Linked DNA regions of Anolis sagrei. The protein of the gene in region 1 purifies or fractionates together with the protein of each later gene. This does not show direct contact. Links are inferred from orthologs where the notes say so. Each region holds a gene or a part of one and is shown in the gene's direction. Other genes may lie near its edges. The genes, in order: ZNF217 and CTBP1.

The links.
Region 2: the proteins of ZNF217 (region 1) and CTBP1 purify together in Homo sapiens (affinity purification with mass spectrometry; 10 studies listed by BioGRID and IntAct, counting the BioPlex papers as one, with this or other methods). This does not show direct contact. The link is inferred for Anolis sagrei from reciprocal best matches to the Homo sapiens genes ZNF217 and CTBP1.

The regions. Positions count from the first base shown.
Region 1 is NC_090024.1:224,624,779-224,640,282, reverse strand, and holds the start of ZNF217 (zinc finger protein 217), read left to right. Parts: upstream 1-7,504; 5' UTR 7,505-7,586; intron 7,587-12,415; exon of another isoform or gene 12,416-12,551; intron 12,552-12,787; exon of another isoform or gene 12,788-12,875; intron 12,876-15,504.
Region 2 is NC_090023.1:143,538,460-143,554,035, forward strand, and holds the start of CTBP1 (C-terminal-binding protein 1), read left to right. Parts: upstream 1-8,042; 5' UTR 8,043-8,277; coding exon 8,278-8,317; intron 8,318-15,576. UniProt on the Homo sapiens protein: Corepressor targeting diverse transcription regulators such as GLIS2 or BCL6. Has dehydrogenase activity. Involved in controlling the equilibrium between tubular and stacked structures in the Golgi complex.

The DNA.
Region 1 (15,504 bases):
ACACAACCAAATCTGTCTGGACAGATGGCCAGGCAGTCTGTAAAAAGTGACAATAATGACAAAGTTCCGTTCCTAGCTTGAAAGTGTGTGTTCCTGTTTCATTGTGTAGTTCTGACTTGGATAGAAGTAGCCTTACTCCAAAAACTTTGTTTGTGTGCCTGAAACTTGATGAAACATGTGGAGGACACAGTTTTTTTTGGACTGCACATAAATAGTACCCTTTGCAGAGATGTGGATATGAAAATAACCTCATATCCGCTAATATGGAAAGCCGAATAAAACCCAGAAACAGAACCCTGTTGTTGGATGCCACAAGTACACAACCAAATCTGTCTAGACATATGGCCAAGCAGCCAGGCTCTAACAATAGTAGATAATGACAAAGTTCTGTTCCTGGCTTTAAAATGTGTGTTCCTGTTTGTGTACTGCTGACTTGGATAGTAGTGGTTCTATCCTATGAGGTTTGTAAGTGTGGGAGATACTTCAGGGGACAAGTTTTCTACCCAGGACAAAAAATGGGACTTTTGCGGTTCGCCGTATATTCTAACATCCTCATATCCGCATCTCGCAATATGTATATAGTAAAGGTAAAGGTAGTCCCCTGACATTAAGTCCAGTCATGTCTGACTCTGAGGTGTGGTGCTCATCTCCATTTCTAAGCCGAAGAGCCAGCGTTGTCCGTAGACACCTCCAAGGTCATGTGGCTGGCATGACTGCATGGAGCGCCGTTACCTTCCCGCCGGAGCGGTACCTATTGATCTACTCACATTTAAATGTTTTCGAACTGCTAGGTTGGCAGAAGCTAGGGCTGACAGCGGAAGCTCACGCCGCTCCCCGGAATTGAACCTGCAACCTTTTGATCAACAAGCTCAGCAGCTCAGTGCTTTAACCCACTGCGCCACCAGGGGCTCCCGTGCAATATATATATATATATATATATATATATGTATAAAACTGCCGGTTTCCAGCGAAAGTTCTGCCTCCAGCAGCCATCTTGGGAGCCTCTAAATCTTGGAACAAAGCATGATATTTGGACAATGGAGGCAGCAATCCTGGGACCAACAGGTGTATATGTGGACCTCTCCTGAAGTCCCGGGATTTTTTGCCCCTCACTAAAGCCTGTGATAAAGTGCTGTCTGGAAGCGCCCCAAGAAAGAGAATTTATTATTTATTTAGCAGTTTTGTATACCGGTCTTCTCACCTCCATCGAGGGACTCAGGCCGGTTTCCAACAACAATATTACAAACTATCATTAAAACATCATAATCCAAATAACACTAAAACATTAAAATAGCAAAGTACAGTCATAATTACAGTGGTCAGTCATCATGTATTGTCGAAGGCTTTCATGGCCGGAATCACTCAGTTCTTGTGGGTTTTTTCGGGCTATATGGCCATGTAGAAGGAAAGTCAGGGAGCACAGTAGATGTGCTTTCCTGGTCCTTAGTTTCTCCAATTTCCGTGTGTCTTGGAACAGTTTCTCCCCGTAGAGATGTTCAATGTATTGTCGAAGGCTTTCATGGCCAGAATCACTCAGTTCTTGTGGGTTTTTTCGGGCTATATGGTCATGGCCATATAGCCCGAAAAAACCCACAAGAACTGGGTCAGTCATCATCCTAAAATAATTGTTGGTCATCATCCATCCATATCACAGGATCTTGAGAAGAGGAATGACCCTGTTTAACCATTTCCTATGGTAGGTGATCACAGCTGAAACCTTTCCATCTTCTCCAGACATTAGGTTAACATATTTTAGGAGCAGGGCATTTTCAGTGGGGACTCTACCCTAGATCCTTTTAACTGGGGACCTTCCCCTTGTCAGTTAATTGTGAGTTGGCCAGAATGTAATCTGGACACCTCCTTTTTATTGTGAAAGTTTCTGCAATAAAGGGGCTGTCTGGATGGGCCCTTAGATTCAGTTTGGTTATTTGGAGTGCTGATTCAGAAAATTGCGTTGGATAGACCACATCAGCTCTAGTTTCTGATACAGAACATATGTCACCCAGTAGTTGCCATCTACTGGCGGCCTGAAAAGTTAAATAGCCTCTGTGTATGTCTGTATATGTTTGTATGTCAAAAATTGGCATTGAATGTTTGCCATATATGTGTACACTGTAATCCGCCCTGAGTCCCTGCGGGGTGAGAAGGGCGGAATATAAAAGCTGTAAATAAATAAATAAATAATTGTCCACAGAAAACCCTGTTTAATAAACTTCAGTACTATAAGAGAGTTTCACAAGGCCAGTTACTTTAATTGCAACAGTGTAGCAATGGTTAGACCGTGGACCATATTTTAGTTCTTGCGCTCCACTGGTGGTCAATAGACCACAGGTTGGGAACCACTGTTCTGCAGTGTAGAATCACCCAAATTGGCACCGTATACAATGAATGGCAAATGAGTAGTTCTATATAAAAGATACACATCTTCTATAGTTTCCTATGGCTGTCTAGGGCCTCATCTACACAACTGTATAAAATCTTACCTTATCTGCTTTGAACTGGGTTATATGGCATCGTGGACTCAGATTATCTGCCTTGATATTCTGGGTTATATGGCTATGTGGAAGGGCCCTTAGTATCATGACTTTACCTCTTTTTCCTCTCTGTCTCAACAAATATGGAAAAGTATCTATTCTAAATAAATATTATGTTATTGTATAAATAAATATGTTGTTGTTTACACTGGTAGCATTGCTGTGTTCTGCTCACTCCAAAATGCTGATCAGTTTACCTTAAAGATGATTTGCCTAGAATAAGTTTTTAAAAAAATATATTTGTATTATTTTAAATTTACAACATCCTATAACATTTTGAACATATAGTTACCTGAAACATGTCAGTCAAGCAAATGAAATAAAACATAATTTAGTAGTAATATCTTCATTGTTTAAAGAAAAAACTTAACACGCAAGAGGGAATTGGGACTAGCAAGAAATAACTCAGGCATTGTTAATAGGCTTGCTGCCAAAGCAACAATGAGGGAGTTATTATTTTGATTCCCTTGTAACAGCCACTGAAATTAGAATATCTCATGCCCCTATACAACTGAAGACATTTGATAAAGATGACCCCTAAGTGATATGTTTAGCTGCTCAAATAAACTGTCAAAACTCCGCCCTCTTCACCAGTTCCCTCATTCTTTCTGTCTTCCTGGAAAACAAAAATCTAATCCATCAAGTCCATCCTCCAACCCCTTTCCTCCAATCCTAGGCCAGTTATTCTACTTTGCTGAGTCCTTTGTGCTTGCTAATCCAAGAAGGGCATTTTCTTACCATTCTAATTTGGAAGTTCTGCATTGCTCTCCAACACTTAGTCAACTGTTTGTTTTCTTTTTAATCTGGCTCTCCACCTAAATTACACGCAGACAAGATTTGACTATAGAATTCCACAAAATTCTGAAAATGAAAAATAATCTGCTGTTTTAAAAACAAGGAACCATATAACAACCCTATAGGCCAGTATCATTATAAATATCATTATAAGATTGTATAGACCAGTGTTTCTCAACCTGGGGGTCGGGAACCCTGAGGGGGTCGCGAAGGGGTGTCAGAGGGGTCGCCAAAGACCATCAGAAAACACAGTATTTTCTGTTGGTCATGGGGATTCCATGTGGGAAGTTTGAGCCAATTCTATCGGTGGAGTTCAGAATGTTCTTTGATTGAAATGAACTATAAATCCCAGCAACTACAACTCCCAAAAGTCAAGGTCTATTTTCCCCCAGACTCCACCAATGTTTACATTTGCGCATATTGAGTATTTGTACCAAGTTTGGTCCAGATCCACCATTGCATGAGTCCACAGTGCTCTCTGGATATAGGTGAACTATAACTCCCAAACTCAAGGTCCATACCCACCAAACCCTTCCAGTGTTTTCCGTTGCTCATGGGAGTTCTGTATGGCGAATTAGGTTCAAATCCATTGTTGGTGTTCAGAATGCTCTTTGATTATAGGTGAACCAGTTTGGTCCAGTGAATGAAAATACATCTTGCATATCTGATATTTACATTATGATTTATAACAGTAGTAAAATGACTGTTATGAAGTAGCAACAAAAACAATGTTATGGTTGGGGGTCACCACAACATGAGGGGTCACGGCATTAGGAAGGTTGAGAACCACTGGTATAGACGTTTGGAATGCTTTGCAATCACCAATAAACCATTTGACAATTCTATACAGAGGTCAGTATAATTTTTTCTACCTTGGATGTCGAAGCCTGAAGTTCAAAGCATATAGAATCATGGAATCATAGAGTTGGAAGAGACCTAGTAGGCCATCCAGTCCAACCCACTGCCAAGAAGCAGGAAAATTGCATTCAAATCACCCCTGACAGCTGGCCATCTAGCCTCTGTTTAAAAGCCTCCAAAGAAGAAGCCTCCACCACACTCCGGGGCAGAGAGTTCCACTGCTGAACAGCTCTCACAGTCGGGAAGTTCTTCCTAATATTTTATTTAAATTTAAAATTTAAAATAATACAGATGGAATCTCCTTTCTTGTAGTTTGAAGCCATTGTTCCATGTCCTAGTATCCAGGGCAGCAGAAAACAAGCTTGGTCCCTCCTCCCGAAGACTTCCTCTCACTTGTTTATACATGGCTATCATATCTCCTCTCAGCATTCTCTTCTTCAGGCTAAACATGCCCAGCCCTTTAAGGCGCTCCTCATAGGGCTTGTTCTCTAGACCCTTGATCATTTTTGTCACCCTCCTCTGGACACATTCCAGCTTGTCGACATCTCCCTTTAATTGTGGTGCCCAGAACTGGACACAGCATTCCAGATGTGGTCTAGTGGTACAGATGTGATCTAATAATCTACATTCAGAAACTGAATTCTATGGCAGTGTAGATGGGGCCTTAGAAGGAAGGCTGGAGTCACATGTGGAACCGAGGACTTTCAGATGGCCATTATACTGTATATTTTGCATCCACACATTCCTTGTTTTTAATATTAAATTTGTTACATATTCTTCCAATCCTTCTTCTATGGTTATCATATGGCTTACTGGTGGTTGCAAAGCATTCCAAAGCATTCCATACAATCCTATAATGATGTTGGTTTACTGTATATGATTTTGGTATAGCATGGTGTTTCAAGCATTGGATGCAACTCGAGAGAACAGAGTTTGTATCCCTGTTTGGCCATGGAGACCTACAAGATGACCTTGTATGCAAGTCACACTTTCTCAGCTCCAGATGAATGCCATAGCAAACCTCCTCCTAAGAAATCTTGCCAAGAAAACCCTATGATAGGGTCGCAATAGCTCTGAATCACTTGAAGGCATGCAACAACAATGGCTTACTGGAGAATGCAAAGTATTCCAAACACCCCTAGAGTTTTATAGTTGTTACATGTGTGTGCGCGTTAAACATCAGAGAACCAGAGATGCTGGACTCTTCTCTCAACAAAACAGCAGACCTAAAACTAGTGAATCCCAAACTCACAGATCTAAGATTTCCTACAAAAAATTACGTCCCTTATATATATCTATATTTCATCCATGGAGAAAAGAGTAGATTAAATCATGAGGTGGAAAAACAGAACCATAAAACCAACAAACTAAACCACCTTTCTTCACCCAAGGTATATTTTTCATACTTAGAAGAACCATTTTCACTTCAAAAGTTTATCAGAGAGAGAAGATTATCATTTATTTCAGGGTTTGCTAAACTTTAGGATGATTCCCCACTGATAACACAGGCCTGTGACATTAAGGGTCATAAAACCGTTTAAAATGTATGTTCTGGTTTTATAGGAATTTAGCATTTTATGTCCAAAAATGAGCTCAATTTTGCTCCATCATGTAAGAATTTTCCCCTAACTTGCTTTGACATTTATATGCAAATCGTTTTGAAATGGAATTTGTGAAAAGAACAGTGTGTGATACATTTTTTACCTATTTACCTATTTTCTTCCTAAATTAAATTTAATTTCTTCCTATATTTACCTATTTTCTTCCAGTTCCTCACAACTATATCTCATGCCTGAGCACCCATTTTCACTTTATGGCTTTGTCAGCAAAGGAAGGAGAGAAATGTTGTCATTTATGAAGGGTTCTCCAAACTTTGGGATGATTCCCTAGTGATAGTTTTCTTTTACAGTTTCTTCCACAAGACAGCCAGAGCTCCCATTTTATCAATTACCCCCCTTTTGTGGCAAAATCCCACCAAACCCCTTTAACAATGCAGTGTAAGGCATAGTGAAAAGGACTGCCAGTTTAGCCCTTCCAAAAGTCACTTGAGAATATGACCTCAATGCCTCAATACATCTTCAACAGGATGAAATATCACAATAGTAAAGAAGTGTGGCAAAATTACATGAGAGATTGCCAAGGGTGCATCTCCACTGTAAAATTAATACAGTCTGACACAACTGCTGTTTAAAGTTTTGCAATGTCTTTAGCTTTCTCTCCTAGGGTGCTCACCAAACTCCAACTCCCGCAATTTCATAGCATTGAGTCATGACAGTTAAAGTTGTGCCAAATTGCATTAATTCACAGTGGAGATGCACCCCAGTTTCAGGCTTTGACAATGCAAGTCAGAGGGAAAGTAATTTGAATGCCTGGCATAAAATTACAATTTAAGGTTGGTTTTGTCATTCTAGTTAGATTTATTAATATCACATTTATTTATTTTTTTCCATATTAAAAATAAATATATATTAGGATGATTTTAATGCCTTGTCTGAATGTTTAAATTTTAAATAAATATATATTAGGATGATTTTAATGCCTTGTCTGAATGTTTAAATTTTGATTTTTGTCATATATTTAATGGTTTTAATGATTTTAAGTCAAAGTTATATGTGCTAAAACAATCATTGTCAATGGCAAAAATGGCTATGGAAGTTTCAATTGTGTTAAATTAATGTTAATAACATGGAACTTTTTAGTTTTTTGGCGGCTCAGGGAGCTTCATCATTTAACCAGGCGTGTTTGGTTTTTGTGATTTGTGTTACTGTATGCCAGAATTTAATTTTTGCCAATAATATGATGTAAACTGCCTTGAATTCCCCCCAGGGGTGAGAAAGGAAGTATATAAATACAGAAAATAATAAATAGATAAATAAATGCATCTCTTTAGCCTTCTAGGAATCACTCTACCTGGGCCCTTTGTATCCCAGAGACACCCTGGATGCTCAAGCCCTATTATAGACAGTGATGCAGGAAAATGGTGCCCCTTATATAAAATGGTTAAATCAACCTTTGCTTTTTGAAATGTCTTTGGATATATGTGTGTGTAGAGAATATTTCTAAGTTGTGAATACTTAATCTGTGCTAGCTGTTAAAGATGAATGCATACATGCATGCATTGAAGGGGGAACCCAGCATTTGCTTGCAACTCCCCAAACTAATCTGCTTCCTCTCCTTCCCGCCTCTTATCTGTGGCTGTTGTTGCTGCTGCTGGAGGAGGAGAAGGAGAGAGAGGGGGGAAAGAGGGGAGGGGGAAAGAAGGCAGGACCGCCCCTTCTTTGGGGGTCAATGAGGCCAAAGCAAGGCAAAGAAACCTGATAAAAATCATCCTTTCTTCTCCAAGATGGCAAAGCACTCCTTCCAGCTAGATTGCAGTGTTTTGCAGACATCTGTAAGAGGGTATGTATGACAAAGCAGCAATGCTATTGGGGTTATTTTTCTATGTGCAATGGCTTGATTGCTTGACATTTTAACATTAAACCTCTGAGACATGGCCCTGTTGATGTGGAATATATCTGCATGCAAAGGGGATCGTTGAGGCTGATTATTTATTTCTCTCAAGTTAGATTCCTTTGCAGGACAGAGTGATATGCATTCAAAAAAGAGAGAAAAAGAAAAGAAGTGATGAAAGAAAGGACAAGACATATAACTAAACCATAATAGGGCTCTGACCATCTCCCTCCCTCATGGAAAGAAAAATTAAAAAGGTAAATATAAAATATTGTACTATTATGGTCCAGCTAAATAATAGTCACAGATTATTCTGTCATTAGCTTCCAAAATGCTCAGAGAGTCCACAAACAGATAAAATTGATATAGCTTTGAAAATCCACTTTAAAGGCCAATTCTGCAACCTTGGCAATCCCTTCTTCCATTGTGTATCCTGCAATTCAGTTTCCAAATTTGAGCTAACAATAATCCTTGCTACTTTTGACATACATTCAAGAAGTGATCCATATTTACTATTCTAAATCTTTATCCATGTGTGATTGGTGCATTATTAAAGGATCCCCATCAAATTCCTAGCTTTCTTTTGGAGATGGATGGGGCAAAACTCCAGTTCTTTCATTTTCCAGAGCAAGCCCCTTGATTCCATTTTGAAACAAAAGAGGAGAGAAACCATGGAAATCTAAACCCCATTGATTTTGGGGAGGGGGCTTACTCCCAGGTGAAAGATTGCAGCCTGAGGCCATTCCTATTAGCCATTTATAAATCCCACTCTTTAATTTTGCTGTGGCTCAAGGGATTCCTGGATAGTAACACCACTGGAGCCTGATGTGTTTTGTGCAATTGGGTTTTCCAATCAAGGTATCTCTCTGTTGTGGATTTTGCCTTATTTTTCTCCATGGCATCAAAACAGGCCTCCTTATTTTATTTATTTACTTGATTTATTTATTCATACCCCGCCTTTCTCACCCTGCAGGGGACTCAAGGCGGCTGACAAACTCCGGCAAAAATTCAATGCCACAAGATTAAACAATACTAAAACAAGCTATAAACAGTTAAAACATATAAACAAATCAACACACATAAAAGCAATAAAACAAATTAAAAACATAATAAATTAAAAACATAACTAAGTGCCGAATCATTGGTTTCCATACTTATTTATTTTCTCATGGTCCTTGCTCAAGCTATTGAGGTCAATTCCATAATAATTCTGTTTTCCGAACACCTGTGTACAGAGCCAGCCTGATGTCACTGGGGAGAGAGTTCCACAACCGAGGGGCCATCACTGAGAAGGCCCTACCTTTCGTCCCCACCAGTTGCACTTGCGAGGGGGGTGGGACCGAGAGCAGTGCCTCCCCAGCAGATCTTAAAGCTCCAGTACACTCATAAAGGGAGATCCGTACAGACAAGTATCTCCTTGGAGATGAGGCCCCATCTACACTGCCATATAATGCAGTTTAACTGCATTGAACTACATTGTATGCATCGACACTGACCATGTAATGCAGTTTCAAACTACATGGCAATGTAGATAAGGCCCTTGCAATCCTCAGCTTGATCCATCAAAGTTTACTCCTAAGTAGGCACACCTATTCAAGCAGGGTGAGGTGTCTTGCAGAATCCCAAGAGGTCTCTGCTCTGGAGGCATTCCCAATTAAAAAGAGACTGGGGTGGAGCAAAGGCAGAAAAAGAAGGAAGAATGCTAGGTTAATCCAGTTGCAACTTTTATTCCTGGGTTCATAACCCCTTGCAAAAATTGCATATACATCAAAGACTCTTGATCAATGGGTGGGTTTAGAGGTGTGTTTGTGCTTCCATGTTACAGCTCCATTTCTCAGGAAGACTTGCATGGAAACAATATAAACAAACCAAAATAAATCTCCCTCCTACCATATATATGAGGGGTTTATAATCCCACCCAACATAGGACAGAGACCCTTGAGATCAAGGGTGGATTTAGAGGTGTTCTTGAGCCTCCCATGTTATGGCTTGATTTCTGGGGAAGACTTGTGTGGAAATAATATAAACATTTAAAAACTAATTACCCTTGTAACATATATAAAAGGGGTTTATAATCCCACCTTGAAATCTCCAATAGGCTGAAGACCCTTGAGATCAAGGATGGATTTGGAGATAGTATTTTCTATCCATGTTATGACAAATCACCTTTGTAACATATATACCAGAGGTTCATAATCCCTCCATGAAATTGCATATAGGCTGAAGACCCTTGAGATCAAGGGGCGCATTTCGAGGTGTGCTTTTCTGTTCATGTTGATTTCTCAGGAAAACTTGTGTGAAAGCAATATATGTACTTAAAACAAGTCATCCGTGTAACACATACATGAAGTGTTCATTATTCCACCCAAAAATTGCATATAAATTAAAAACCTTCGAGATCAAGGATGGGATAAGGAGGAGTGCTTGTGCTCCCACATTATTGATTGATTTCTCAGGAAATCTTATGCGGAAATGATAGAAACACTTAAAACAAATCACCCTTGCAACATATATAGGAGGGGTTTATAATCCCATTTTGAAATTACATATAGGCTTGAGATAAAGAATGGATTTTGAGGCGTGATTTTCCTTCTATGTTATGATGTTATTTCTCAAATCATCCTTCTAACATACATAGGAGAGGTTCACAGTCCTACTCAAATAATAATAATAATAAAGATAGATAGATAGATAGATAGATAGATAGATAGATAGATAGATAGGCTGGAGGGCCATGAGATCAAGGAGTGGATGTGTTTTTCTATCCATGTTATGGTTTTATTTCTCTGGAAGATCTGCATGGAAACAATATAAACACTTAAACCAAAACAAAGCAGACCCAAAAATTGCAAATAGGCTGAAGACTCTTGAGATCAAGGATAGGCGTCAAGGGCCTATATAACCACACAGCCATATAACCCAGAATATCAAGGCAGAATATCCACAATATCTGTTTTGAACTGGGTTATCTGAGTCCACATTGCCATATATTCCAGTTCAAAGCAGAAATGTGGGATTTTATGCAGATGTGTGGAAGGGGCCTATATTATGGCTTGATTTCTCAGATGTGCATGGAATCAATATAAACACTTTAAATCAAAAGGAATTAGTTACCTTTGTAACATATATATGAAGTGTTCATAAACCCAAAAATTGCATATAGGCTTGAGATCAAGAGATGTGTGGGTTTAGACGTGTTATTGCTGGCTTGGCTTTCTCAGGAGAGCTTGCATGGAAATGATATCAACACTTAAACCATAATCATATGCATAATTTACATATAAGCACATAGGTTGGATATCCCTGAGATCAAGGGTGGGTTTAGATCATCATTTCTCAACCTGGGGGTTGGAACCCCTGGGGGAGGGGTTGCCAAAGACCATCAGAAAACATATTTCTGATGGTCTTAGGAACTCCTTTGGCAGAGAAGGCTGAAGTTCTCTAGGCCTGTCCTCTTCCTTTTTGGAAAGCTGTTGAATCCTCCCACCAAAACGTCTCTGTTGGGGAGGGGAGAGCAGGCATGCTAGGAGCATGGCAGTGTGGTGCACATATGCGGGTGAGGGGAGTGTGCGAGGTTGGAGGGAGGCTCACTCCAGGGAGTCCGTTCAAGACATGGGGCTACTGTGTGGGAAGTTTGGCCCAATTCTATAATGGGTGGGGTTCAGAATGCTCTTTGAATGTAGGTGAACTATAAATCCCAGCAACTACAAAGTCTATTTTCCCCAAAGTCCACCAGTGTTCACATTTGGACATATTGAGTATTTGTGCCAAGTTTGGTCCAGATCTGCCATTGTTTGAATCCACAGTGCTCTCTGGATGTAGGTGAACTACAACTCCAATATGCAAGGTCAATGCTCACCTAACCCTTCCAGTATTTTCAGTTGGTCATGAAAGTTCTGTGTGCCCAAGTTTGGCTCAATTCCATCGTTGGTGGTGTTCAGAATGCTCTTTGATATAGGTTAATTATAAATTCCAGCAACTACAACTCCCAAATGACAAAATCAATCCCCCCCCCCCCCCAAGGTTCAGTTCCATCATTGGTGGTGTTCAGAGTGCTCTTTGATTGTAGGCTAACTATAAATTCCAGCAACTACAACTCCCAAATGACAAAATCAATCCCCTCCCCACATCCCACCAGTATTCAAATTTGGGTGCATTGAATATTTGTTCCAAATTTGGTCCAGTGAATGAAAATACATCCTGCATATCAGATATTTACATTATTACATTACATAACAGTAGCAAAATAACAAGTTATGAAGTAGCAATGAAAATAATTTTATGGTTGGGGGTCACCACAACATGAGGAACTGTATTAAGGGGTCACAGCATTAGGAAGGTTGGGAACCACTGGTTTAGATGGTTTGATTTGGAGGAAAACATGCTTTATAGATTTATAGACAGGATACAAAGACTTAATAATCTTTGCATTGATCACATTCAGGTTCCCCTTTTCCTCCAAATGCATTTGTGTTTAGAGAAAGGGGCACATGGTTGCCCTCTTCCTTTGCAACACTGCTTCTTCTCCAGCTAAGCATCCCAACCTCTTTTATCATCCTCCTTATTGGGAAATGCCCTCCCTTTGCGCTCCTTGGAAATCCTCCTCCTCTTCCCCCAACCCATTGGTATCAGGAGGACAGAAGGCAAAAGGATCAGGTGTGTGTGTGTGTCTTTGTGTGTGTGTAGCAGCAGCTCACGCAACCAGCCTCAAAAACTCCCAGTAGCCCTCCTCCTCCTCCTCCCTTCATCTTCCTCCTCCTCTTCCTCCTCCCTCAAGAATCCCTCCTCCCTCTCTCCTTTCTCATTCAAACGCTGCAACTCCTGTTGTGTCAGTTTTATCTCTTTCCTCCTCCTCCTCCTCCTCCTCCACCACCACCAAACCCCACCACTAGGCAGAAGAGAAAGCAGCAGCAGGTAAAGAAACCTAGATTATTATTATTTTAAAAAGAGATCCTTTTTATTTATTTATTTTTGCAAAGTCTTCTCATTAGGCTAGATTTCTCTCTCCCCCCCTCCTTTCTTTCCCCCAAAGACCCCCCCTCCCTTTTCAAAAGGAGGAAAGAAGCAGATGAGGAAGAGAAAGAGTGTAGCTTTTTCTGCTTCCTCTTAAACTTCTGGCTCTGTGTGTGTGATTTCTGCCTCGCCTTGGCTATTTACAGCGCCTCTCTTCTTCTTCTCCAATCCCTTTTCCTGCCATTCCAGTAGATGTTGGGGAAACTTCTATAGCTATCTCTATAGGTATTCCTTTTCAATACTTAAATATTATTATTGTCGATCTGGGTGGCAAGGGAAAGGGGTCTTTTTTGTGAGTTATGGATATTCCTAGAAGCAAGGTCTGCAAAATGTGTTTGGCTGAAGGTTGGGGGGGGGGGGGGGATAGGAAAGCAAGGGGAGGGGGGTCAGAAATGCTAATGAAAACTTTATTGATCCGTTTTGGCCAGTTTCGTTTTTGAATGCTTTCGAAATGAATTGAATCTACTCTTCCTAAACTATTGCAATTTTTGAATAAAAAAGATAGATATGCACTTCTATTTATGTAAAGATACTGGAGATTATAGGGTGGTTGGGGAGGAAGGAGAAAGCCTTAAAAATAAGCCACCTTCTTGGCTCTGGGGAAACAACAATAGGCTTAGGCAGAAGAGGAGAGTGCATATGCATAAAGAGTGTGGTTTCACTTCCCTGTGCAGAAGGCTCACCTTATCTATACATGGGGGAGACATTTCTTCATATTTCATTGGCTCCCCTTGTTTTTTGGGCTGGTTTTTAATATAATTTTTTGTTCCAGTTGGAGAAATCCTTTCTCTCAAAGCAGCTTCTGGACATGCAGTCCCTTCTCTCCATGCTGTGTGTGTGTTGAATCCCCTTGTGAGTCTCTGCATTGAAGTGGAAGAGTTTTTGAAGTCTTGTGGCCAGGAAATTTCTATGCTGGGCTTCATGTTAAAAGGGCATTTGGGGGTGTTTGTTGTTCAGAAGGACTTATTCAGCCAGTGGAACAACAAAAAAGGACAGTTGTGCCTTATCTCTTTTCTTTCTTTTTCCAATACTGTCCTTTCTAAAGTGACCTTGAAAGCTTTTTTTCTTTCTCTTCTTTTTCTAAATACTTCTTTTCCTAGGTGGAAAAAAAGGAGGGGGCAAGGAGAAGAAAGGCTCTATAGTACAGAGTCGAAAGAAAGCAGAAATAGGAACTTCCAGACTGTAGATGAAGTGAAATCATTTACAGAAGAATGTGAAAAGGGAAGTTTATGTGTGTGAAGGAACAGAAGGAAATAGCAGACTTTAAAAAAATGCAAGAGGGTGGGTGGGAAGCTCCTCTCATTCTTCACAATGTATTTCGTTAGTTAGGCCTTGAAAGCTGGCTTGATAGGATCAGAGCAGCCAAGGAATTAAATGCCTAAGTACAAAATTGAATGCCAGCCATTGACTTGATGACCAACACTTGCATTATGTGGGCTGGTAAAGATTGGGCTTTTTGTATGTCTATGGCCCCTTCCACACAGCTGAATAAAATCCCACATTTTCTGCTTTGAACTGGGATATATGGCAGTGTGGACTCAGATAACCCAGGGCCTTTCCACACAGCACTATATCCCAGATTATCAAGGCAGATAGATAATAATAATAATAATAATAATAATAATTTTTATTTATACTCCGCCACCATCTCCTCAGAGGGGACTTGAAGTGGCTTACATGAGGCCAAGCCCTGCAATGTATTACAGCAAAATAAAATACAGAACAACAAAAATAACATCACAATAAAATAAATAAAACAATCAAGTAAAATAAGCAGTGCAAAATGACATAATATAAAATCAGTGGAAAATCCCACAAGATCTGCTTTGAACTCAGGGCCCTTCCAAAAATATTCCCAAAATATTAAGGCAGAAAAGCCCACATTATGTGAGTGTGGACTCAGATAACCCAGTTCAAAGATTTTCTGCCTTGATATGGGATGTAGGACTGTGTGGAATGGCCCTGGGTTATCTGAGTCCACACTTTGATAATGTGGGATTTCTTGCCTTGATATTCTGGCACATAGGGCTGTATGGAAGGCCCCCAAGTTCAAAGCAGATATTGTGGTATTTTTTTGGCTTGATATTTTGGATTATATGGCTGTGCGGGTTTGCAAAAGTATCTGAGCACTATGCTTAGTAACAATGGCTTGCAAGTATTCTCCATGTTTTGTTGCACTTTAAAGGGATCTTTCCTATAGATTTGGGGTGTGAAATCCTTTAATTTGTGGTCCCTGTTTTGCTGGATTGGATATTTTCTTGGGAGTGCTGGCTCAAATAAGTAGGTTAAACTGCTTTCTTTGGGAAGTGGGGGAGGGAAAATGGGTGGAGTTTGGTCTCTTCTCCCCCACTTAACTAGTTTTATGTGAATTGATGAGTCAGTATTTAAGATCTGCAGTAGGAATGGAAGAGGAGGATGTGTCATCAGATTTCCTTGTTCTTTAATATAGGGCCCTTTCACACAGCCATATAACCCAGAATATCAAGGCAGAAAATCCTAGAATATCTGCTTTGAACTGGAATATATAACAGTGTGGATTCTGATAACCCAGTTCAAAGCAGATATTGTGGGATTTTCTGCCATGATATTCTGGGTTGTATGGCTGTGTGGAAGGGGCCATAAAGAACTATAATTTACTCCAGAGAATTCAGTAATGTTCTTAAATCATATAGTTGGGGGAAGGAGGATTCTCATATCTTTCTCCAACGAATGATGTGACTCTTGGAGGCTTTATTTCAAGTTAAAATCATGCATTACAAATTGATGTAATTGAGAGGATTTTATAGTTGCTCAGTCTGACTTGTGTTATTACATTATTACGTTTTGCAAAAAGTTCTTGATTTCAGTTGTGTTG
Region 2 (15,576 bases), on another chromosome or scaffold:
ACATTAGTAAGGGTTGCAGCAGTCTTGGGAAGGGAGTGGAGGGAGTGGAGGTACTTGAAGTCCCATCATCCATGGTCTGTCCTCGAAAGTGCACCAGGATGGAGAGAGGGTCATGGGGGCTCTGTGTGCTAAGTTTGGTCTTGATCAGTCATTGGATGAGGGTCACAGCAGTCTCAGAAAGTGAGTTAAGGTACTGCAAGTCCCATCATCCATAGTCTCCCTCAAACATCACCAGAATGTTGAGTTGGCCATGGGGGCTCTCTGTGCCAAGTTTGGTCTTTATTGGTATTTGGATGAATGTCACTGTGGTTTCAGGAAGTGAGTGAAGGTACTGCAAGTCCCATCATCCATTGTCCGTACTCCTCCAAACAGCACCAGGATGATCGGACATTAGTAAGGGTTGCAGCAGTCTTGGGAAGGGAGTGGAGGTACTTGAAGTCTCATCATCCATGGTCTGTCCTCCTCGAAAGTGCACCAGGATGTAGAGTGGGTAATGGGGACTGTGTGCCAAGTTTGGTCTTGATCAGTCATTGGCGAGGGTCTCAGTGGTCTCAGGAAGTGAGTGAAGTGACTGCAAGTCCCATCATCCAATGTCAAATTCTTCCAATCCGCACCAGGATGTAGAGTGGGTCATGCGGGCTTTCTGTGTAAATCGTGGTCCTGATCCATCATTGTTGGCAGTTGTAATGGTCTTAGGAAAGGAGTGCAGGTATTGCAAGTCCCATCGTCCATGGTGCATCCTCCTCCAAACTGCACCAGGATGTAAAGTGCATCATGGAGACTCAGTGTGCCAAGTTTGGTCTTTATTGGTAATTGGATGAGGGTTGCAGTGGTCTCAGGAATTGAGCAAAGGTACTGCAAGTCCCATAATCCATGGTCCATCTTCATCCAAACCACACCAGGACATAAGGTGGGTCATGAGAGGTCTATGTGGCAAGTTTGGTCCTGATCAGTCATTGGATGAGGTTAACAGCCGTCTCAGAATGTGAGTTATAGTACAGCAAGTCCCATCATCCATGTTTGCAGTAGGATGTCGAGTCGGTCTTGCAGGCTCTGTGTGCCAAGTGTGGTCTGTATTGGTAATTTTCTGACTCAGCCCCCTCTGGCCTTTTCCTTTCCTCTCTTTGTCATCTCGGAATCTTGGAATTGAGGCTGGCCAATCAGAGACCATATGCAAATTTTCTTCTCATGACTCCGTTTCTGTCATGAACTCTTTTCTCCACCAGGGGCTCCTCTTGAAGCTGGCCAATCAGAGACCATATGCAAATAGCACCGCTGCCCAGCCAATCGGAATCTTTGAACTTTCAGGCTGGCCAATCAGAGACCACAGTGGCAGCCAATCAGAAAGCGAGCACATACACCGCCACACTTTTGTCCTCCGCATACAAGTTTTGACTTTTATTATATACTAGCTTGGGGACCCGGCGTTGCCCGGGTTATTAGAGAAAGTGGGTAATGGCGGTTCTGTATGCCAAGTTTGGTCTTTATTGGTCTTTGGATAATGGCTGCATTATTTTCAGGAAGTGAGTGAAGGTACTTGAAGTCCCATCATCCATGGGCCATCCTCCTACAAACAGCAGCAGGATATAGAGTGGGTCATGGGGGCTCTGTGTGCCAAGTTTGGCCTTTATCAGTTATTAGATGAGGGTGGCAGTGGTGTCAGTAAGTGAGTGAAGGTACTGCAAGTCCCATCATCCAAAGTCCATCCCCTTTCAAACTGCAGCAGAATGTAGAGTGGATCATGGGGGCTCTGTGTGCCAAGTGTGGTCTTGATTGGTCATTAGAAGAGGGTTGCAGCAATTTTTGGAAGGGAGTGGAGGTGCTTGAAGTCCCATCATCCATGGTCTGTCCTCCTCCAAACTGCAGCAAGATGTAGAGTGGGTCATTGGAGCTCGATGTGGCAAGTTTAGTCTTGAGTAGTCATTGGCGAGGGTCTCAGTGGTCTCAGGAAGTGAGCAAAGGTACTGCAAGTCCCATCATCCATCTCCAAATTTTTCCAAACAACACCAGGACGTAAAGTGGGTCATGAGAGGTCTATGTGCCAAGTTTGGTCTTGATCCGTCATTGGATGAGGTTTGCAGAGGTCTCAGAATGCGAGTGAAGGTACTGGAAGTTCCATCATCCATGGTCCACTCTTCTCCAAAACTGCAGCAGGATGTAGAGTGAGTCATGGGGGCTCTGTGTGCCAACGTTGGTCTTGATTGGCCATTAGATGAGTTTTGCAGCAGTCTTGGGTAGTGAAGGTACTTGAAGTCCCATCATCCATGGTCTGTCGTCCTCCAAACTGCTCCAGGATGTAGAGTGGGTCATTGAAGCTCCATGTGCCAAGTTTAGTCTTGATGAGTCATTGGCGAGGGTCTCAGTGGTCTCAGGAAGTGAGTGAAGTGACTGCAAGTCCCATCATCCACTGTCAAATTCTTCCAAACTGCACCAGGATGTTGAGTGGGTCATGCTGGGTCTCTGTGTAAATTGTGGTCCTGATCCATCATCGTTGGCAGTTGTAATGGTCTGAGGAAGGGAGTGCAGGTATTGCAAGTCCCATCGTCCATGGTGCATCCTCCTTCAAACTGCACCTGGATGTAGAGTGCGTCATGGAGACTCAGTGTGCCAAGTTTGGTATTTATTGGTAATTGGATGAGGGTTGCAGTGGTTGTGAAGAATTGAGCAATGGTACTGCAAGTCCCATAATCCACGGTCCATCCCCGGCCAAACCACACCAGGACGTAAAGTGGGTCATGAGAGGTCTCTGTGCGAAGTTTGGTCCTGATGAGTCATTGGATAACGTTTACAGCGGTCTAAGAATGTGAGTGGTGGTACTGCAAGTCCCATCATCCATGGTTCATAGTCCTCCAAACTGCAGTAGGATGTAGAGTGGGTGATGGGGGCTCTGTGTGCCAAGTCTGCTCTGTATTGGTAGTGTTCTGACCCAGCCCCCGGCCTTTCCTTTCCTCTCTTTCTCATCTCGGAATGTTGGATTTGAGGCTGGCCAATCAGAGACCATATGCAAATTTCCTTCTGTCATGCCCCGTTTCTGCCATGAGCCCTCTTCTCCACCAGGGGCTCCTATTGAAGCTGGCCAATCAGAGACCATATGCAAATAGCTCCACAGCGGCAGCCAATCAGAATCTTGGAACTTTCAGGCTAGCCAATCGGAAAGCTGCCACAAACACGTCCGCCCTCCACACTTCTACCCTTCCACTACAAACACTCTCTTTTATTATATATACAGATACAGATATAGATAGATATAGATATAGATATAGATAGATAGATATAGATATAGATTAACTTAGGTACCCAGCAATTTCCATGTTAAGTTGGGTTTTTTTTTAATCGTGTCAGAAGCAGCTTGAGAATATACTACAAGACGCTTCTGGTGTGAGAGAATTGGCCATCTGCAAGGACATTGCCCAGGGGATGCCTAGATGTGCTACCATCCTGTGGAAGGCTTTGCTTATGTCCCTGCATGGGAAGCTAGGGCTGACAGACAGGAGCTCACCCCATCTCACGGATTTGAACTGCTGACCTTCAAGTCTTCAGGTCAGTAGTTCAGCTGGCACAAGGGTTTAACCCATTGCGCCACCATGCTCATAATGGGTTTAAAAACCTGAATAGTGCTTATATTAACTCTATTATGCAATCTTTCTTGAGATTCTAATGCCGTGCTTTTCAGCCTGTGGGTCCCCAAGTGTTTTGGCCTACAACTCCCATAAATTCCAGCCAGTTTACCAGCTGTTAGGATTTCTGGGAGTTGGAGGCCAAAACATCTGGGGACCCACAGGTTGAGAATGACTAGTCTAATGGCTATGTGTTTATTTTGCAAGACATGTTGAAGATTTTTCAATGTAAAGATGGGTTTTACATCCTGGACATTCCACAGATATATAAACCTCACTTGCCCAGTTTCCCCTCAGCCTCTGAGAATGCCTGCCATAGACGTGGGCGAAATGTCAGGAGAGAATGCTTCTGGAACATGGCCATACAGCCCAGAAAACTCATAGCAACCCAATTTATTTATCGTGTCAGGAGCGAACCAAACAGTTGTATTGCATTAAAAAAAACCACAAAGTTTGCAAACTTGGCATTCTAGCTGGCCATTTGGAATGCCTCTGGTGTTGCTGCAAGAAGGTCCTCCATTGTGCATGTGGCTGGGCTCAGGCTGCATTGTAATAGGTGGTCTATGGTTTGCTCTTCTCCAACTGGCATGTCGTGGATTCCACTTTGTAGCCCAGTGTTTCCCAACCTTCCTAATGCCGTGACCCCTTAATACAGTTCCTCGCGTTGTGATGACCTCCAACCATAACATTATTTTTGTTGCTACTTCATAACTATCATTTTGCTACTGTTATGAATCATAATGTAAATATCTGATATTTATTTTCATTCACTGGACCAAATACGGCACAAATACTCAATATGCCCATATCTGAAAACTGGTGGGGTTTGGGGGGGGGGGGGTTGATTTTGTCATTTGGGAGTTGTAGTTGCTGGGATTTATAGTTCACCTACAATCAAAGAGCATTTTGAACTCCCCCAATGACAGAATTGAACAAAACTTGGCACACAGAACTCCCATGACCAACAGAAAATACTGGAAGGATTTGGTGGGCATTGATCTTGAGTTTGGGAGTTATAGTTCACCTATATCCAGAGAGTACAATGGACTCAAACAATGATGGATCTGGACCAAACTTGACACGAATACTCAATATGCCCAAATGTGATCACTGGTGGAATTTGGGGGAAATAGACCTTGACATTTTGAAGTTGTAGTTACTGGGATTTATAGTTCACCTACGATCAAAGAGCATTCTGAACCTCACCAAACTTCTCACACAATACCCCCACGGTCAACATAAAATACTGTGGTTTCTGATGGCCTTTGGTGACCCCTCTGACACCCCCTTGCGACCCACCCAGGGTTCCGACCCCCAGGTTGCGAAACACTGTTGTAGCCCCATTTCTTAAGGTTGGCTCTGCATCTCGTGGTGCCAGAGCACAGTCTGCTCAGCACCTTCCAAGTCGCCCAGTTTTGTGTGTGCCCAGGAGGGAGTCTCTCATTTGGTATCAACCATTAATTCAGGTTCTGGGTTTTAGCCTGCCACTTTTGGACTCGCTTGATGAGGTGTTCCTGCGAGTGTCCCAATGTGCATACAGATTGGAATTCCAAAGACCAGAACTACTCCAGATTCCAAAATTGTCTACTCTGGTGGGGGGGCTTGTTGCTACTAAAGGTTTGCAACGTACTTTTCTTAAGTTTTGGAAAGGATCAGAGCTGTTTCTGTTACAGCTGACACAGTTAATTATTGGGATAATTAAGTGTATTGTTATCTCATGTGTGTTTGTACTTTAAGTATTGCATTGTATTTGAGTTTTGCATTATCCGTGTTGGAGTTTTGCATTCTTTGTGTTGGAGTATTGTGTTCTACGTGTTTGAGCATTGTGTTTGTATGCTTTGCTTGGGGCTCGGTTTGAGTTGAAAAACCTTTGTTTGTTTGATGCCGAGAGAAGTTACTGCAAGCGTCCAGAGCTGAAAATAAGGCAGCAAGTCAAGGTCACTCTACGGACAACTGACTAAGGGAGACTGCATATCAACGCGGAATGAAGAGAACTCACCGAAGATATTGTTTTATGTTATGTTTTTGGTGAGAGCAATTCTTCTATTTTGTTTTGTATGCTGTGAATACAACTTCGTTTCTTTTCTACTTAAAGCTGAAGACTCATGTGTTTTTCTTTTATGAATTACACACTAGCTGTACCCACCATGCGTTACTGTGGCCAATCTTACATCTCTCCTTCCTTCCTTCCTTCCTTCCTTCCTTCCTTCCTTTCTCTCCTTCCTTCCTTCTCTTCTCTTCTCTTCTCTTCTCTTCTCTTCTCTTCTCTTCTCTTCTCTTCTTCCCTTCCTTCCCCCACCTTTTCTTTCCCATTCTTTCTCCCCTTTCTTCCTTCTCTACTTACTCTTGGACTGCACCTCCTAGCAGTCCTCCTGATCCATCCATCCATCTATCTACCTTACCTATCTGGAGGATTGCTGGGAGTTGCAGTCCAAGAATAGGAAATTGCAAGTATGCAGGGATTGGGATGCTCTTTAAAAAATCTAAGAAGAAAGCTTGCAGCTTGGAAACACTGCATTTGGATCATCCCCCTCTCTTAAAAGGCCTGGTCTAGGGGATGCTGGGAGCAATAGTCCGAAAGAGAGTGTGGAATTGCTATTGTGTGGGTATTTTTGCCGGGGGAGTCGTTTTTGTGCATGCTCTGTAGCATCTTTTTGCTTTTTTGGCTTTTTAAGTCCCAATGTGTTTTTCAGTGTTTTTATGAGTGATGGTCACTTGTTGGCCTGATGGGTGTATTGTGTCCAAATTTGGTGTCAATTCGTCCAGTGGTTTTTGGCTTATGTTAATCCCACAAACTAACATTACATTTTTATTAATATACTAGCTGTCCCCTGCCACGCTTTGCTGTGGCCTAGTCTGTGTATATGTTTGTGTGTATATATATTTGTATATGTGTGTGTTTATATTTGTGTATATATGTGTGTTTGTGTATATATGTGCTTTTGCGCATGCGTTGTAATGTGTGTGTGTGTGTTTTTTTTGCTTTTTAAGTCTCATCCACTGTGTTTTTTTGTGTTTTTATGGGTGATGGTCACTTGTTGGCATGAGGGGTGTCTTGTGTCCAAATTTTGTGTCAATTTGTCCAGTGGGTTTTGAGTTATGTTAATCCCACAAATTAACACATTTTTATTTATATAGATTTTTATTAATATAGACTAACTGTCCCCTGTCACGCACTGCTGTGGCCCAGTCTGTGTATATGTGTTTTGTGTGTGTGCATATATGTGTGTATATGTGTATGTTTGTGTATATATATGTGGTTTTGCGCATGCGTTATGTAATTATTGTTTTTGGCTTTTAAAGTCTCTTCTGCTGTGTTTTTCAGTGTTTTTATGAGTGATGGTCACTCGTTGGTCTAATAGGTGTATTGTGTCCAAATTTAGTGTCAATTCATCTAGTGGTTTTTGAGTTCTGTTAATCCCACAAACGAACATTACATTTGTATTGTCGAAGGCTTTCATGGCTGGAATCACTGGGTTGTTGTAGGTTTTCCGGGCTATATGGCCATGTTCCAGAAGCATTGCAAAGGTGTCCCTGCCTCAGCCTTGTCAGCATTTACATAAGTAGCCCGCAGGCTGACTTTACCCTTGTAGTAACTATATAAATAAAAATGTAATGCTCGGTTGTTGTAGGTTTTCCGGGCTATATGGCCATGTTCTAGAGGCAGTTTCTCCTGACATTTCGCCTGCATCTATGGCAAGCATTCTCAGAGGTAGTGAGGTCTGTTGGAAGTAGGAAAATGGGTTTATATATCTGTGGAATGACCGGGGTGGGACAAAGGACTTTTGTCTGCTGGAGCTAGGTGTGAATGTTTCAACTGATCACCTTGATTAGCATTTGATGGCCTGGCAGTGCCTGGGGGAATCTTTTGTTGAGAGGTGATTAGATGTCCTTGTTTGTTTCCTCTCTGTTGTTGTGTCGTTGGCCTAATAGGTGTATTGTGTCCAAATTTAGTGTCAATTCGTCCAGTGGTTTTTGCGTTCTGTTAATCCCACAAACAAACATGACATTTTTATTTATATAGAGTTATTACAAGGGTAAAGTCAGTCTGCAGGCTACTTATATAAACGCCGACAAGGCTGAGGCAGGGGCACCTTTGCTATCTGATATTTGCTATCTGCACAAAGTTATTGTAAATATTGTTTTTTTTTAAAAAAATTCAGGCCGTCTACGGTGAAGATGAACCGTGAATGAAAACCGTGTTTGGAGGAGGGTCCCATCTCGTCGGGGCAATGAATCAGGCGGGGAGGCGGCCCTCCTTCCCTCCCTCCCTCCAGAGGTGGGGTCCTTCTGCCTCCGAAAAGGGGCGGGGCGGAGGCCACGCCTCCTCCTCCTCTTCCCCTTCCTCCCGCGCGCACGCCAGCTTCCCTTTCCTTCCCTCCCTCCCTCCTCTCCGGCTCCACATCCGGCCAGCAGACAAGAGAGCAAGCGCGAGCCCAGCCCGGCCCCGCCCCTGCCTGCGCGCGCCTCCTCCTCCTCCTGCTCCCCCCTCCCTCCCTGATCGCGGAGCCTCAGTGCGAGGGCTCGGAGGGAGGGGCCGGGCGGGGAGGGAAGGCAAAGGAAAGGAAAGAAGGGGGCGAGGGAGCCGCCGGGGCCGCCATATGCTCCGAATCGCGCCCGAGCAGACCCCGCTGGAGCCCTGCCCCTGAGAGGCCTCTCGATGGGCAGCTCCCACTTGCTCAACAAGGGCCTGCCGCTCGGTAAGGCGCCGCCGCTGCCTCGGGTTTGCTGTGCCTGTTTCTCCCGCCTCGCGCACGGAGGGAAGGGAGGGGTGGGGGAAGGAGGAGGAGAAGGCCCCTCGCGCTTTGTGAGGCATTGTGTCCCCTCCTGCTTCCCCTCAGAAGCTGAGGAGTAGGCCGCAGGGAGGACATTGGGGGAGGGGGGGCTCTGCTTCGGCCTGGCCTCGCTCTCCGCTGGGGCCTTTCCCCGTGAACACAGCCCTTTGGGGAGGGGGCTCGCTGGAGGCCGGTTTCCGGTTGCGCCCCCAAAGGCTGAATATGGTTATTGGGCGCCGCTGGGAGGGTCCAAGGCCTGGCGCCTCTTGCCTCGCTCGGGAAAGTTTGATGTCGTCCCCTTTTGTCCTTCCTCCTTCCCTTCCTTCCTGGCACCGCCTGGGCCCGGTTTCGAGCCGCCCCTTCCCTCCCTCCTTTCCTCCAGGGGGCCGTTTGTGCCAAGATGGAGGAGGAGGAGGAAGAAGCCGAGCTCCCGCTTCCTCACCTCTGGGGGGCTCCCTGACTTCCTGGCTGTCTCGCTGCCCTCCCTTTTGATCCATCTTCTGTCTCTCCCTCTTGGCCATCCAACCAAGGGAGCGTGGAGCGCAGGGCTGCTCTTTCGATGCCGGCTTGGAGTGGGCATTGTTCTTAGGAAGCCATGTAAGGGCCTTGTGGTCAAGAGGGCTTTTAATAAAATAATAATAGTAATACTTTATTTATACCCCGCTACCATCTCCCCAAGGGACTCGGTGCGGCTTACATGAGGCCAAGCCCACCGCACATCAATAAACAAAACATCAATAAACAAACAATCAATACAATACAATTCATATAAATCACATTAACAAAAAATAGGCAATAAACAATCAACAGTGACATACAAGCATTTAAATCCAATGGTTGGGCCAAATGTAATAGATTAAAATTAAAAAATAATTCTGACGTGAGCAAGGTAGGATATAACTGGGATAGGATTTTCAGAGAGAATTGAGGGAATGCAGTCATTCCTAAATCAGTGGTAAAGTGCATTTTGAGGGCACATTGCTGAGAGTTTTCCTTATTCTGGGAAGGCACACTGGCACAACCACGCTTTTGTTTACAGCCACCCATCAACAGAGAGGCCATCTAGACTACCATATAACGCAGTTTAGAACTACTTTACGTGGCCAGTGTTGACTCCTATAACTCACTTATTAGGACCTCCTCACACTAGAGCAGTGGTTCTCAACCTTCCTAATGCTGTGACCCCTTAATATAGTCCCTCATGTTGTGGTGACTCCCAACCATAAAATTGTTTTAATTGCTACTTCATAACTATAATTCTGGAACTGTTATGAATCATAATGTAAATATCTGATATGCGTGATGTATTTTCATTCACTGGACCAAATTTGGCACAAATACCCGATATGCCCAAATTTGAATACTGGTGGGGTTGGGGGAGATTGATTTTGTCATTTGGGGGTTGTAGTTGCTAGGATTTATAGTTAAACCTACCATCAAAGAGCATTCTGAACTCCAGCAATGATGGAATTGAACCAAACTTGGCACACAGAACTCCCATGACCAACAGCAGATACTGGAAAGGTTTGGTGGACATTGACCTTGAGTTTTGGAGTTGTAGTTCACCTACATCCAAAGAGTACTGTGGGTTCAGACAAAGGTGGATCTGGACCAAACGTGGCATGGATATTCAATATACCCAAATGTGAATACTGGTGGAGTTTGGGGAAAATAGACCTTGACATTTTGAAGTTGTAGTTACTGGGATTTATAGTTTACCTACAATCAAAGAGTATTCTGAACCCCACCAATAGAATTGGGCCAAACTTCCTACACAAAACTCCCATGACCAACAGAAAATACTATGTTTTCTGATGGTCTTTGGTGACCCATCTGACCCCCCCCCCCCCCCGGATCCTGACCCCAAGGTTGAGAAACACTGCACTTAGAGAATGAATCCACTTTAAATCCGGTTGCTGCCTCCTGCAGAATTCTGGGGTTTGTAGTTTAGGGACAAGTCTTTAACAGCCTCACTAAACTACAAATCCCAGAATTCTGCAGGAGACACAAACTGGATTCATTCTCTAGTGCAGGCAAACTTCAGCTCTCTAGGTATTTTGGACGTCCAACTCCCAAAATTCCTAACAGCTGGAGTCCAAGACACCCAGAGGGCCAAAGTTTGTCCATGCCTGCTCTAGTGTGATGAAGTAGACAGGCTGCATTATATGACTCTACACAGACCATATAGTGCAGTTTCAAACTGCATTATAGGGCAGGGTAGATGAGGTCCCGAGGCTGGATCTACACTGATCTATATCCCAGAACCTGATCTCAGATTATCTGCTTTGAATTGGATTTATTTCTTTACTATATTTATACCATGCTCTTCTCACCTCAAAGAGGACTCAGGGTGGCTTACATCATAGCAAAATTCAATGCTGCATTATACATACTAAATATAACATATCAAATTATAAAACTATTAAAACATATAAATACAATAAGTAAAGCCCCCCCCCCCCTTAACATTAAGTCTAGTTGAGTCCGACTGTGGGGTGGTACTCATCCAAGGTGATGTGGCCAGCATGACTGCATGGAGTGCCATTACCTTCCTGCCAAAGCAGTACCTACTCACACTTGCATATTTTCGAGCTGCTAGGTTGGCAGAAGCTGAGGCTAATAACGGGAGCCCACCCTGCTCCCCAGATTTGAACCTCTGACCTTTCAGTCAGCAAGTTCAGCAGCTCAGTGGTTTAACCCACTATAAAACCCCTATAAATACAATACAACAGATTAACATCATAGTACCAAGTCCCATAGTCATTATATAAGCTGCTACGTTCAAATCGGATTGTATGAGTCTACACTCATATATGATCTACTGTGGAGGGCCTTCTCTTAGTCCCACCACCCGTTCAAGGACGCTTGATGGGAGCATGAGAGAGGGCCTTTTCGGTGTCTGCTCCCAGGCAATGGAACTCCCAAGAGAAACCAGCATGGCCCCATCCCTGCTGGCCCTCCGCAAGCAGATCAAGACCAACAGGCTTTTGGGGAAGGGTAAGGGGAGACTCTGGGGAGAATGGTGGGGGGAGATTGGGGGTATATGAGTTTTAAAGGCTATTTTAATGAATTTGCTGTATTTTAATTCTGGTTTTACTACATTTGTTATTATTTAATTGTTTTTAACTTTTGTATTGCTCTTTTTATACTGTTTATTGTGGATAGATGGTAGCCACGTTGAGTCCCCATGCGGTGAAAGGCGGGATAGAAATAAAGATAATAATAATAATACTAATACTAATAATAATAATACACTGCCAGATAATGTAGGAAAAGTAGATAATCTGGGATCAGATCTTGACATATAGGGCAGTGTAGATCCAGCCTTAGTGTTTAGAACCTCTCCCCTTATAATATGCCTTGCTTCCTCTACATTGTGTCTCCCTCAATAATTGGCTGTTAATGTTGGGTGCTCCAGGCCTGCCTTTTTCAGATCTGATTAAATGTTGTATTTGCCCTGTCCTCTGGAGACTAATATTAGCAACACAGAGAGTTAACCCAGCTACTTCAAAGGTACTTTGGTCTAAGTACCAAAGTAAAATCTCATGCAAACTTGCTATAGCTCAAAAGCATAGTTTTCATTTCTCCCTTCCCAAAATAAGGAAAGATAATCTTTGATAATAAAAAATCATTTTTTATCTCAGGTTTAGGTTTTAAAATATTATTTACTTAAATTCAATCAATGACTGCAATGTGATGATGACTGACCAAGGCACAGTTCCTTATGTGCAGTTGGTCCTTGGTATCTACAGATTCTGTATCCACGGGTTCAACCATCCATTATTGAAAAACATTAAAAAAAGGAGACATTCCAAAAAGCAAGGGAATTATGTAAGAAAAACTATTTTACCATACCATTGTATATAATAACACCTGAGCTTCAATGGGTTTTGGCATCCATAGAGGACCTGGAACTAGACCCTAGCAGATTCTAAGGGGCCACTGCTCAGAACTGCTGATAAGCAGTTTTATTTCTAATGAAAGTTCCAATAAAGTGGTGTAGTTTTTAAATTACATGATGCTAGCTGTGAATACCTAATGGGAAGAAAAATACTAACAATAAAACTATATTATATTCTTGTCCCCTCCCCCATTTTTAAAAAAAAGAAATATGATTATCCTGTCAGCATATAACATTAACACGAAATGACATTTTAGGTGCAGCACATTTCTTATTTGTATGAATCACCGTTCCTTTTTGTAATATGCCCATGCCTACCATTATTAATTTGCAGATAGAATGAGTACTTAAGTAATGGTTTTACAATTATGTTCAATTTATCACATTCAAAGAAAATCTATTTGCATTGATAGTAACATGGGGGAGAGGAGGCTTTTTGGTTATTTTTAGCATCTAAGGGAAAACACAGTTTTATTTATATTTAATCACAAAAACCATATGAATTTCTTAGTATTATTTGATGTGTTTTTTAAATAATTCCTTTATTAACTATAATTCTACTTGCTTCAGTCTTTGATATAGTAATTAACATTTTTTATTTTTTGATATTTCCTGGCATTGTGCAAGGAAATAGCATTGAAGCATGTAATAAGTGGGGGAAACTTTTTCTCTCACCCACTGCCCATCCTTTTACTTTCCAATTTACTTGTTACTAACCCCCCCCCCCCCATAGAATGGTCATGATACTAAAGTTTGAGAAAGCGTATCATGCAATTAAAGGAGCAACTGCAGCAATTGAAAGAAAAATGACTAAATATAAGAAAAACAATATTTTCCAGGGGTTGTTGTGAGTTTTTTCGGACAGTATGGCTATGTTCCAGTAGCATTCTCAAATTCACAACAGCCCAGTGATTCTGGCCATGAAAGTCTTTGACAGCACAATATTTTCCAAGTTGTTACAAGGAGAAATATTGGTAGGCCATTATTTTAAAAACAAGGATAGAACAGACTTGTTCTTTCTTTTTGAGTTAATATCTGTGTATGATATTTATACCCCACAAAGGGAGACTTCTATTTCTGCGTGGTGATCTGTTCAGCCACCAAAAAGCCCTCTTCAGTTTAATGAAATTCACCCGAGGATACAAATAAATAGTCAGAATGATGTGAATTAAAGAAGATAGTAATGCAAGCTGTCCCTAAAACTGGACTGCCATTATCTTACTATCAATAACTCAAAGCAAATAGTTAAACAGAATGCTTTTAGGGGCTTGATTAAATCTTGCAGTGATCGGAAGATAAACCATTTCCCTTTGTTCTTCGTGAATTAGCTGCCAGTTGGTTTCCCCCAAAAGACAGCTATGGCTGCAGTCCTATGCCCACTGACCCGGGAGTAAATGCTACTGAAGTTAGCGTGATATGCAGTTGAGTATGCATGTAGTGAAATAGAATAATTATTTACATGTCTGTTTCAAATAAGCATTACTGATTCCTGTGGGACTTAAGTAAGTGTATAGGATGCACCTTAGATCAGCCCTGAGCTTTGCTTTTCACTGGTTAGGGAAAAACATTTTTTTAAACTATGTAGTATGATCATGGATTTTAGAAAGCTGATAGAATTTGTGAAAAACAAAACAAAAGAGAGGGTGCAGTAGAAATCAGGCAGCAACCAAATCTAACGCTGTGTTTGCAAATACTTTTTCAGTTAATGTGCATGCTGTGTCAGCACAGAAAATTATTATTAAGTAGGACAGTGGCTTTCATGTTCTCTAAGGCCTGTCAAGGGTTTTGTACTGGTAATGGCAGACAGGCTGGTCAAAAGAAGGACCAGCTGTCATTTTGAATAATCTCTGCAGTATACAATCACAGGGAATGCTGTGTTTGGGTTGAAGGCTATGACTGTTTTGGAGCTCCAAAGGGCATCTTGGAAAAAATAGTCCAGAATTCTTGAAACATGCTGGGATTACGTGAATTACTGAATAAAAACAATAGGAAAAGTTACCTGGGAACTGGAACACTGCCAAGGAGAAGCTGAAGATCTGAAATATCTGTAACAGTGGAACTGCTTGGTATATGGCAAAAATCAGGATTTAGTTTGGTGTTTTTTTTAGTATTTTCAAGTCATTGTTGGCTAAATAAGTGGATACAAAGGGCTGACTGTAATTCTATATAAGGCTGTCCACAAAACCTCCCTGAAATAGGCGTCTTTTTGAAAAAAAATTCAGTGGATTTCCAGTGTTCAACCCAGTGTTCAAATCAGTTGGCCAACCCAGTGGAGCTATTTTGAACACAAATGCACCAGGAGCTTCTACAGCTTTCTACTAGGATAGATTTGTCTCTACTATAGAAACACAGATTGAGGATAATCGTTTTTGAGATCTTCAGGGGCCTGGTAGATGCATGTGCGGGCTTCCAGTTTTCTTGTTGGCTTCTGGACAGACATACCTGGCCTTGGTTGTGTGGAAGGAATTCTAAAAATGAGGAATAGGTGCTGAAAAGCTTGAGATAGGTTGCTTTAAATTTCATGATTGCCATTTGTAAAATTGCCTTTGTGCTGCTAGCAGGTTATGTGTTGGTGATTTCAGGTCAAGGAGAGTGTTTTGGGCTACTTCATGGGCTTGAAACGGATGTGATGACACTCACAGTCTCTGGGCTTGCGGCATTTAGAGGCTGTAAAATCCTGCAGCAGTTGGCAGTGGAAGGAACACTGCAGTCAAAATCTGAAGCCACTTAAACCTGGTCTCTGCCAATATTTATTTCATGAAAATGTTAGTAAAGCATTACATATAGGTTGGACACTTCTAGAGGAGAGAACCTTGGTGGAATACATGGATGATGTGGGGACAGTAAATAGTATCAGTAGACGCTTCAGTGCAGAAACAAGTTTTTTTTGAGAACACAGTGAAGGATTAGGGAGCAACCCTATTTATATTGACAGTGCTCTCCAGCTGAAAATGGAAAAGATGGATCTGAGAGCTCTTAACTATACTGATAGCAGAAAGGTTAACATAACTTAATTAAGCCATTGTTGTTTAGCCTGTTCATACAACAGCAAAACTCGGGAGTATCTAGTTTGTGGTGTTTATTTGTTAATTTCTATTACATAACACGTTATTTATTTAGCTGAATTTTAAAGTGTTTTCCCAAATGTTCAGTAAATGTTTTCCCAATTTTCAGTAAATGTGTTCTGGTGTTTTTGTCCTCTGGAGGATAGCTTCAAACCAACATTTTGGGGGAGGGGTGGGAGTCTATAGAGTAAACAATCCAAGCATCTTTTAGAAAATGA